Linked DNA regions of Caenorhabditis elegans. The protein of the gene in region 2 interacts with the protein of the main gene of each other region in a pairwise test. Each region holds a gene or a part of one and is shown on either strand. Other genes may lie near its edges.

Region 1 (4,868 bases), on a different chromosome or scaffold from region 2:
TCAGATGAAGTGGGCGGGGAGTTCTCTTTTTGGAGGGAATATAACCGAATTTTCACCAACCAATCAGCGCCTTCGAACTCCGCCCACTCCATCTGATTGGTTGGAAAGTGGGCGGAGCTAATCGCTGATTGGTCGCAGTGTAAATTGGGTTTTTGTGTTTTTTTTGGGAAAAAATTCGAAAAAAAAACAAAAAACACCGATTTTTTCCAATTTTAGACAAATTCCCACTGCGACCAATCAGCGATTTGCTCCGCCCATTTTTCAACCAATCAGATGAAGTGGGGGGGGGGGGGGGGGGGGGGTTTCGAAGGCGCTGATTGGTCGGGTAAAGTTTCATTTTGGAGGGAATTCAAAATTGATTGTTTTTTTCGCTTTTTTCCTATTTTCGTAATGAAAAAAAATTTTTTTTTTGTAAGTTGCGACGGTTCAACATTTTTAAGAAAAAAGACAAAAAATTCAAAAAAAATCTGCGACCAATCAGCGATTAGCTCCGCCCACTTTTGAACCAATCTGAAGAAGTGGGCGGGAGTTCTCGTTTAGGCATCTTCAAACTCCGCCCACCTCACCTGATTGGGCGAAAAATGGGCGGAGCGAATTGCTGATTGGTCGCAGAAAAATTCGAATTTTTCGTTCTTTCGCATATTTTTTTTTTGAATTTTTTGTCTTTTTCATTCAAAATTTTGAATCGCCGCCACTTTTTTTGGTTGAAAAATAATTTTTTTTTCCTTAGGAAAATAGGAAAAACGCGAAAAAAACAATCATTTTTGAATTCCCTTCAAAATGAGACTTCACCCGACCAATCAACACCTTCGAACTCCACCCACGTCGCCTGATTGGTTGGAAAGTGGGCGGCGGAGCGAATCGCTGATTGGTCGGGGCGATTTTTTGCTCTCACCTCGCCGTCTTCTTGTTCAACAAATGCCTACTAATCCGCCTTGGCTTCACCCCATTCCGAATAACCTTGATAATTCGTGGAAACACGAAATCCGTATTCTCATGACACGGCTCTACGACACTCAACGCCAGCTTCTTCGTCTCCAAGTGTCGATTGTATCGATTGGCAAGTGTCAGACGCCAACTTGGCTCGGCGGCTCTCGAATAATCGACCGGTTTGAAAGCGTCGGTACTCGAACACACATAACCACCGCCGTCTTCGAATTGATCTACGGAAGTGATGCGTTGAGCGCCGTCGATCGTGAAAATGTGACGGATTCCGTGTGGAAGAGCCGTCGAGTCACAGATTACAGTTTTCATCAAATCTTCCATAAGTGGTTGCATACTCTTCACCCGGTCACTTTGTAAAGCATACTGAATCCCTTTGAAATATTGATCCCCATTTCTATAGAACCGGAGTCGCTTGGCTTTCAGTAAATGCGGATACCCGGATGGCCCGATTCGACACCTCCGCTGCATTTCTGAGACCATATCCCTGGACTCTGCGAGCTCATCTCCATTCGTTCCCTCGGTTTCCATGGCACATACGGATGACGTCATTGACGCTTCCGCAGTGTTCGTGCCACTATTCGGCATGCTTCCCTGGGAAATTGCCGTTGGGAAGACGCTTGTCTGATTGAGATTAAGAGTCGATGCTCGTGGAGTTGTCAGTGTTTCTTCACTGATCACTGCGGTCTGATTGTGATGAATATGATGGTGGAAGTGTTGTTGAGGAAGATGCGAGAATCGACGATGTGCGGAGGATGTTGATGGAGCAGATGATGATGGACTGATCTTTCTATGAACAACTGGAGATGATGATGATGTCAAGACTGCGGAGAGAGGACGTGTCGAATGAGGGAGATGGGCTGGAAATTAGGATTATATTACACGGGAACACAAAAAAATATTTAACGCGCAAAATATCTCGTAGCGAAAAGAAAACTACAGTAATTCTTTATATGACTACTGTAGTGTAGATTTACAGGATCTCGATTCTTTAGATTCAATTATTTTCGAATAGTGATAACGATCAAGGGTGTCGGTTTTTTCGATTTTTGAAAATCGAAAAATCGATATTTCGAAATTTTTTCGATTTTTTAAAAATTCGCTTAAACTTTGATCATTGTTCTTATTTTTAGATGTTCTTTATCATGAATATATAAACAAAATTAGATTTTTAAAAAATCATATCTTATGGGTAATTTTCTGAATTTCGGAAAATAGAAAAATCGAAAATTTTAGGGGCCGCTTTTTCCGGCAAATCGGCCAATTTGCGGAAAATTTAAAATCCGGCAACTTTCCGATTTGCCGGAAAATTTAGGGGCCATTTTTTTCCGGCAAATCCGGCAATTTGTCGATTTGCCGGAAAAATCGTTTTCAACAGTCTGACGGTATTAATCATTTTTTAATAGCTTTTTACAAATAAAAATGTCTCTTTTTTCAAGTTTTCAACTCAGTACTATTGAAATTAAACAATCTATCCGTGAATTTTGCAAAAAAGCAGCATCGCACCGAAAAAGAGGCGGAGTGTAATTTCGTAATTTCGCAACCTTGCGGCACGGTTTTTTCTCTATTTTTTATTTGTCTTTTTTCGAATGAAAGTATTACCCAATTTACTTATTATTAGATTGTGAGGATATTTCATGGTTGTAAAAAAAATGAAATTAATCGAAAAAAAAAATTCAGAAAAAAAGGAGAAAAAACCGTGCCGCAGGGTTGCAAAATTACGCTCCGCCTCTTTTTCTGTGCGACGCTGCTTTTTTGTTGCAAAATTCACGGATTCATCATTAAAAAAAACCATATCCCGTAAGCTGAAGCAAGCAAGCCACCAACGGGGAAATTCAAGCCAAACACTCAATTCTTACGTCGTTTGAATCGTGGAATATTCGACGTTTTTCCAGCAGCGGAAACCCTCTTCGATACACGTGGCAATGTGTTGGCTCCATTCATAGATGCTCCATCCGATCCTCCAGCTTCAGATCCAGGTGGTGGTGGTGGTGGTGGTGGTCTAGCAGTTGTGTCGTTGAGCTGCCACGCCGACGTTTGTGGCATCGTTCGAGTAGAGATAGTCTAACACCGAAAAAAAACACCAAATTAGCGATAGTTAGGCGCAACCACGAGAGGAGGACGGAGCGGTGTCAGGCCGTCCCATTACGGTTTGATCTACCAAAAATGCGGGAGATGAGACGCAGATTTCTCAGCTGATTTAGCATCGAATGAGAGTGTACTGACGTCACATTTTCCTGGGGGAAAGTTCCCGCATTTTTTGTAGATCAAACCGCAATGAGACTGCCTGACACCACGTGGGGATATACCACGTGGCAACAGGCCGTCCCATTACGGTTTGATCTACCAAAAATGCGGGAATTTTTGGCCCAAAAAATGTGACGTCAGCACGTTCTTAACCATGCGAAATCAATTGAGAAATTTGTGTCTTTTCTCCCGCATTTTTTGTAGATCAAACCGGAATGGGCCTTGGATATGAAAAAGAGAAAGGAATGCAAAATCAAAAGATTGGACAGAAAATGAACTAAAAATCGAGGAGGACAATTCCAATCGGGTATGGTGCAAGTGCTATAGACGGGAATTAATCTTTTTTTTTGTTATTTTAGAAAAACAATTTTTTTTTCTGAAAAAAAAGTGGAAAATTCAAATTTTTTTGAGATTTTCTGAGCAAAATTAAAGTTTTCTGGGAAAAAAAATTTTTGTCGGGGATTCAAATTTTCCGAAAAAAAATTTGGCGGGAAATTTAAAAATTTTAGAATTTTTTGGCGGGAATTCAAATTTTCGGAGAAAATATCTATTTTGGCGGGAGATTCAAATTTTCTGTGAAACAACTATTTCGTCGGAAAATTCAATTTTTTTTCGAGAAAAAAAACCTATTTAGGCGGGAAATTCAAAATTTTTTTAATTTTTTTTTGGCGGGAAATTCAAATTTTCGGAAAATATCTATTTTGGCGGGAAATTCAAATTTTCCGAAAAAAAAATTTGGCGGGAAATTTTTTTTTATTTTTTCGAATTTGTTTTGGCGAGGATTCAAATTTTCTCTTAAAATAATTTTGGCGGGAAATTCAAATTTTCTGAGAAATTTTTTTTTTCGATTTTTTAAAGATTTTTGAAGCAAAATTTCCATCAGGCTGTCCCATAACGGATTGATCTACAAAAAATGCGGGAATTTTTCGCCCAAAGAAATGTGACGTCAGCACGTTCTTAACCATGCGAAATCAGTTGAGAACTCTGCCGCATTTTTTGTAGATCTAGGTAGATCAAACCGAAATGAGACGCCACGTGACACCAAAAAAAAGGAGATAATTTTACTATGCTATGACTAGCTGACAATTCGAATCATTGTCCAAAATGAGCTGTCCGCGAGCATTGGTCTCCAAAATGCATGGAATGTCGAATGTGGGAATTAACTAGGCGTGCACACAGAGAGCAGTGAGCAGTGAGCTGCTTCTCGTTTTCCTCTCATTCGAAAGAGCTAAAGGGCAGACGGGTGTTGTTGTGGGTTGATTTGGCTGACGGGAGGGGCGCGCGCGAGCCAACGCAGAGCCGGGGGACGGAATAGACGAGGGATTAGTTAGGGGGTATCCGGAGGGACCACAGAGCCAATTAAACAGCTTCTCATTTGTGCAGCGCCACCTGCGTCTCCGCCGAAAAAGGTGCGGTTTGTGATAAGAATATTACACGGATTTCTGGCTTCCCTCCATAAATTGAAATGGAAGAGTTTTTTGCCGAACTAGGCCAGGCCAAATCTGGGGTAGATTTACGTTGCGTTGCGTGTCGCGTCGCGGCTCGATTGTAAAACTAAATGTATTTGTCCGTGTGGAGTACACGACTTTCCCACGCGTTGTCCGGCAGGCGATTGTCAATGGAGCGCGAAAAATTCAATGAGGAAGGCCAGAAGCCCGTGATACTGAAGGTGAGGTAGT
Region 2 (4,931 bases):
AGCTTTTAGTGTAAAATTTGAAAAAAAAAGCACACACAATTTCATTTTTTCTAAAAAAAATCCAGCAAAAAAGGTTACCTCCATTCGATCGAAGATGTGGTGAAAGTGTGGATATTTGTGGTGACGAATTGTACGAATGATGATGATTATCAGTTGGCATTGTGAACATTGCACTACGAAGACTTTTTGCAACGATCTCCTCGTTCGGAGATTTCATGTCGTTTGATACTACTGAACAAAAAAGTTTTCAATGTGAAAAGTGCGAAATTTATGCCATTTTAAATAATATTTAAATTAAATACGTTGATGTGTTCTTGGAAAATGTATTTTATAATTTTTTGAAAAAAATCGGCAGGAAAACTGATTTTTTTCAAAATAAGAGAGCAATATTTTCTAACAGAAATCTAGATTTTTCTTAAATATTCAAATTTCAAAAACTAAATTTATTTTGTTAGCGTTTTTCAGCTTATTTTTCAGCAACTTTTCGTTGGTTAAAATTTAAAATTAAATGTTTATAAAATCTTTAAATTTCTATTTTAAGTTTTCTAGCACTTTATAGCTCGATTTTTTCCATAAAGATCTCAAATTTCAAGCAAAAACCCCAAGTTTCAACCTAAAACCCTCTTAAATGAGTGCTAAACAACCTCTAAACGGATAAAAATGTTAGTGTGCAGTCAAGTGAGAGAACATTCAACACAACAGAAAAACACAGTACTACCGGGTGGCCTGAGGAGGAGGGTGCTAACGCAAATAAAAATGTGTGAATGGAAATTGATAGAAAAAAATGTGGTGGCGGTGGAAAAAGGATAGATAGAGAGACAGAAAACATTCCCTATTATAACTGTGCCGATCGCCTCCGGGAAAGCATTCTAGAAATGAAATTTGTTTCGGGTTTTTCTTCGAATTTTGTGCAATTCGAAGCTATTCTAAAGAGTAGAGGGACTTAAAAGAATTTTCCGATTTTTTGGCTTTCATACTTAAGTAGACTGAAAATGGCTAGAAACGGCCGAACATCATAAGGAGATTTTTCAAAATTTCAGTTTTTTGGGGGCGGAAATTTCCAAAAAAGGGCTAAATATTGCTTAAGTTTAGAATTTCGCAAAACTTTTCAGTGTCAGAGGCAGGGAATCAGTTTTTTTTTCATTTTTTGTATATTTTGGTGATCTAGTTTGTTGATTTAGGTTAGCAATTATTTTTTTAAAAAACACTTTTATTGAAAAAAAAACCATAAATTGGAAAATATATTGTTTGAATTATAAAACCTCAAGTTTTAATCCAAAAATATGGAAAAATCAGTTGTTTCGATTTTAAAACACTTTAATTTGAAAAAAATTTCAATTGTCCGTGTTTTAAGGACTAAAAACTTGGTAAGAAAATTGCAAAACAAATTGCAAACATTCTGATTTATCAGGACAAAAACATGCAATTAGTCATCAAGATCGTGAGCGTTTCTTTTTTTTGAAAAAAATTAGCCATATGTTTTTATCGGTATGTTTTAATTTCTAGAAATTTTATAAAAACAATTTTTCTGTTTAGAAAAAAGGGTTAAAAATCAATGGAAAATCGTAAAAATTGTGAGATTTCTTCTTCTTCTTTTCGAAAACTTTTTGCATCCAATTAAATCCAGATGTTTCATTTTTTTTTCGTTTAAAAATTTCAAAAGCTCACCAATAAATTGTTCTTCATCAACAACCATCACTTCATCATCATTTTCATTTGGTTTCTTCTGATTCTCTTTTTCATCAGTAGTCATCATTACAGTTTCTTCTTCACTTTCCTCTACATCAGTGCTCTCCATTCGTTCAATTGGAGCTGTTTTAAGCATTCGAATAGCTGTTGGTGAAGACTCTTCTGACGTTTTTCGTGCCAAACTACCACGTCTTTCGATTTGGCTTGTTGAAACTGGAACTTTTAGAACATTGGAATTAAAAGATAGAAAATTATGGAAAACAGTTTTTTCTAATTTTTTAGAGCTAATATTCAAGTGATTTCTATAAATTGAGCCGAATATTCCAAATTTTCAGCTTTTTTTTTATAGTTTTCAGAGTTTTCAGAGAATTTTTTCAGAAATTAAATATAAAGTTTTCAGGTAAGCTGTTCTGCTGACACTTGCACCTTTTTTAAGCTTTCAGAAAAATTTTTCACAATTTTTTTTGTATTTTTCGTCGGAACTGGAACTTCGGGCACATTATATATAACTTTTAAGCCAATTTGAGTATAAAATGCTTTTTTTTTTAATTTTGCAAAATTTCAAGCGATTTTTACGGAAATCTCAGCTTTTTTTGGAGAATTTCTCACATTTTTTTCGCAAAAGCCGTAAAGTGTTACCTGGAAGTCTTGACAGTTTCTGGGCCGCCGCTCCGTTTCGATTCATCGATGGAAACGAAACTCCCGCAGAGGCGGTGGCTCTTGACAGCTGATGTGGGTGAATGCTCGATGCAACTGTGGTACCTGGAGGCAGTTGGTCGCCGAGAAGCTGAAAAAAGAAGGGAAAAGGTTAAGAAGAAACACTTTTTTTCACTCAGGAGGGAGGGATGAAAAGATGAGGGCATTTTAAATTTATTGGAAAACCACAACTTTTATGCCTAAAAAATTTTTAAAAAAAATTTTGAAAAGAAATTTCAGTTTGAGGCCTCAAATCGCAGAGCATTATTTCAGAAAAAAAATATATTGAAAAATAGTTTTTTTTTTAATTCTTCAAAAAGGTCTTTGGAACATTTTAATGACCGAGAGCTGGAAAAATGAGAAAAGTTCAACTGTATACATTTTCCAAAAACCAAAATTTTTGCTATTTTTTGGAAGAAAAACATTTGAAATTTTTAATTTTTTCTAAAAATCAAATCCAAACCTTTGCATAAGTGCTCGAAACGTTCCGATTAAGAGAAATGAGCACATCACCGGACATTACAAAAGCCTCGGACTTTTTGACATTCCGGCGAGGGGCTCCATCAATGGTGGCCAGTGCCTCTTCGGCTCCCGACGACGCCACCTTCGCCATCACTCTGAAAACGAGATGATTGTAGAATAAAAAACGTTTGAAAAAGTATAGAAAAGGTGTCAAGAGGTATAATATTTCGATGACGAATTCAACAATGACCATCAGAGTGTTTATATAAACACGTGATGGAGGTGAGTTTATTTTCAAAATATTCACAAGCGGAAGCAACAAAAAAACACTTCAGCACCGTAAATTTATTCGAAAAGTTCCCTTTTGATTTTAGCATTAAAAAATAAAAATTTGGAGGAGAATTTGATTTTTTTATAAGAAATTCACAACTTTTCGGGCTAAAATGCTTAATTTTGGGCCACTTTCGCTAATTTTTTGTGTATTTTTTTTTCAAATTTCCTTATTTTTTAATGTAAATATTTTATAAACTAAAATGGTGTTTATTTAAGTTTTTTAGCATTGAGCATGAATAAGAGAGAAATTGATACAAGATGCTTTGCGAAAAAACACCAAAAATCGAGAATTTTAGATCAAAACTATAAAAAAATAAATGCACACTTCTTCTCACGGAGTACACGAGCTGCGTAAATCGACAGTCTCAAAGATTACGAAGTTTGAAAGTTTGTGCTGACAGTAAAAGATTTTTAGAAATTGCGATAAAATCGCTTTCTGGAAAAGCAAATTTTTCCGAATTATCTAGATTCTTACACTCAATTCGAAAAAGTACAAATCTTTTCAACAAAATCATAAAACTCTGCACAGCTGTTACCACCGGGACGACGTCACACCTCATTCGTCTCCTCCTCCTCCTCTTCCATCACCTCCCTGTTTGCCCATCAGATTGTAGTGTTGTATAATAAAATTCGAGATAGACAGAGAGAGACAGAGAGAGAGAGAGAGAGAGAGAGAGACCTGGTGTGGAACTAAACGTCCATTCCTCCCCGCTGTGCAGAAGACAACAACTGGTCGACTCCCGAAGGTGCGTTTTGAGCAATCTCGCGAAAAGCTGACAGTTGCGCGGAAGGATGGAACACATATTTCCGCCGCGCACACTGATCAGTCAGTTAACAAATATTGTCTCCAGAACGACGCACCCCAGAGAAAGTGATTAGGCGGTAAGGAGGGTTTTCACACCTCACCCCCGTATCATAAAGTTTCTACGGAAGATTAGCGTGATTTGGAGCTGAATTGTATGAAACTAGAAGCTCCAAGAAGGTTCTTGACGTTCCAAAACGTGGGAAGGTCGGAAAAGCGATACTTTGTGGAATTTGGAACGAAAAACTTATTTATGCGAGTTTGTTGCATTAAAGCTATCGAAATTTGCACAGGAATCAGCAATTATAGCGATCAACGATTTTTTCAAAGTTTTCGACAATTTCGATTTCAGAAAAATCGAGCTATACTGAAAACTTTCCAAGATAGATGACGCTAAACCAATTTCGATATAAAGCCAAGCTAAAGCAATTTTTAGCTCTCGTATGTGGTGCGAGGCTTTCCGATTAAGGTTTGATCTACAAATAATGCTGCAATTTTGCCCAAAAAATGTGACTCTTCTCCCGCATTTTTTAAAGATCTACGTAGATCAAACCGAAATGAGCCATCACGTGCTCTCGTCGGCAAAAACGAAAGTACAACGGAACGAGTATTACAACTCGAAGGCGAAGAAGAATCTCCATTGGATAATTGGTCCCTCGCAGAAAGATGAATGGACTTAGAAAACTACGGAGTACGAAACAATTTGGTCTACACCTATTGTTTCAGAATGTTTTCTGTAAAACTAGCGATTTTGTGTAAAATCGAAAGGCGAGGAGACACACAACGAAACAACTGGCAATATAAAACTCGATAAAATTGGCGAGATCCTCTTCTCTTGACCCTAATAGGCTAATCCACTTGATGCCAACACCAACCACGAATGCAAAGTTTTCGATAGAAAATGTCGAACTAACAGGTGTGCACACAAAACGGCGAACGTTTATGACAT

Evidence for each region. Proteins that work in one complex are often made in the same cells at the same time.
Region 1: the proteins of efa-6 (region 2) and zyg-8 interact in a two-hybrid assay, tested with the Caenorhabditis elegans proteins (one study listed by BioGRID).

The regions. Positions count from the first base shown.
Region 1 is NC_003281.10:12,059,859-12,064,726, reverse strand, and holds the start of zyg-8 (Serine/threonine-protein kinase zyg-8), read right to left. Parts: upstream 3,015-4,868; 5' UTR 2,989-3,014; coding exon 2,802-2,988; intron 1,803-2,801; coding exon 896-1,802; intron 1-895. UniProt on the Caenorhabditis elegans protein: Probable kinase. Kinase activity may be involved in positioning of spindle poles in meiosis and mitosis. Plays a role in spindle positioning during asymmetric division of one-cell stage embryos.
Region 2 is NC_003282.8:12,611,722-12,616,652, forward strand, and holds the start of efa-6 (Exchange factor for Arf-6), read right to left. Parts: upstream 3,004-4,931; 5' UTR 2,999-3,003; coding exon 2,849-2,998; intron 2,477-2,848; coding exon 2,329-2,476; intron 1,909-2,328; coding exon 1,669-1,908; intron 232-1,668; coding exon 79-231; intron 1-78. UniProt on the Caenorhabditis elegans protein: Guanine nucleotide exchange factor for arf-6. Involved in response to injury in mechanosensory neurons. Inhibits axon regrowth via microtubule dynamics, possibly by inducing axonal microtubule catastrophes.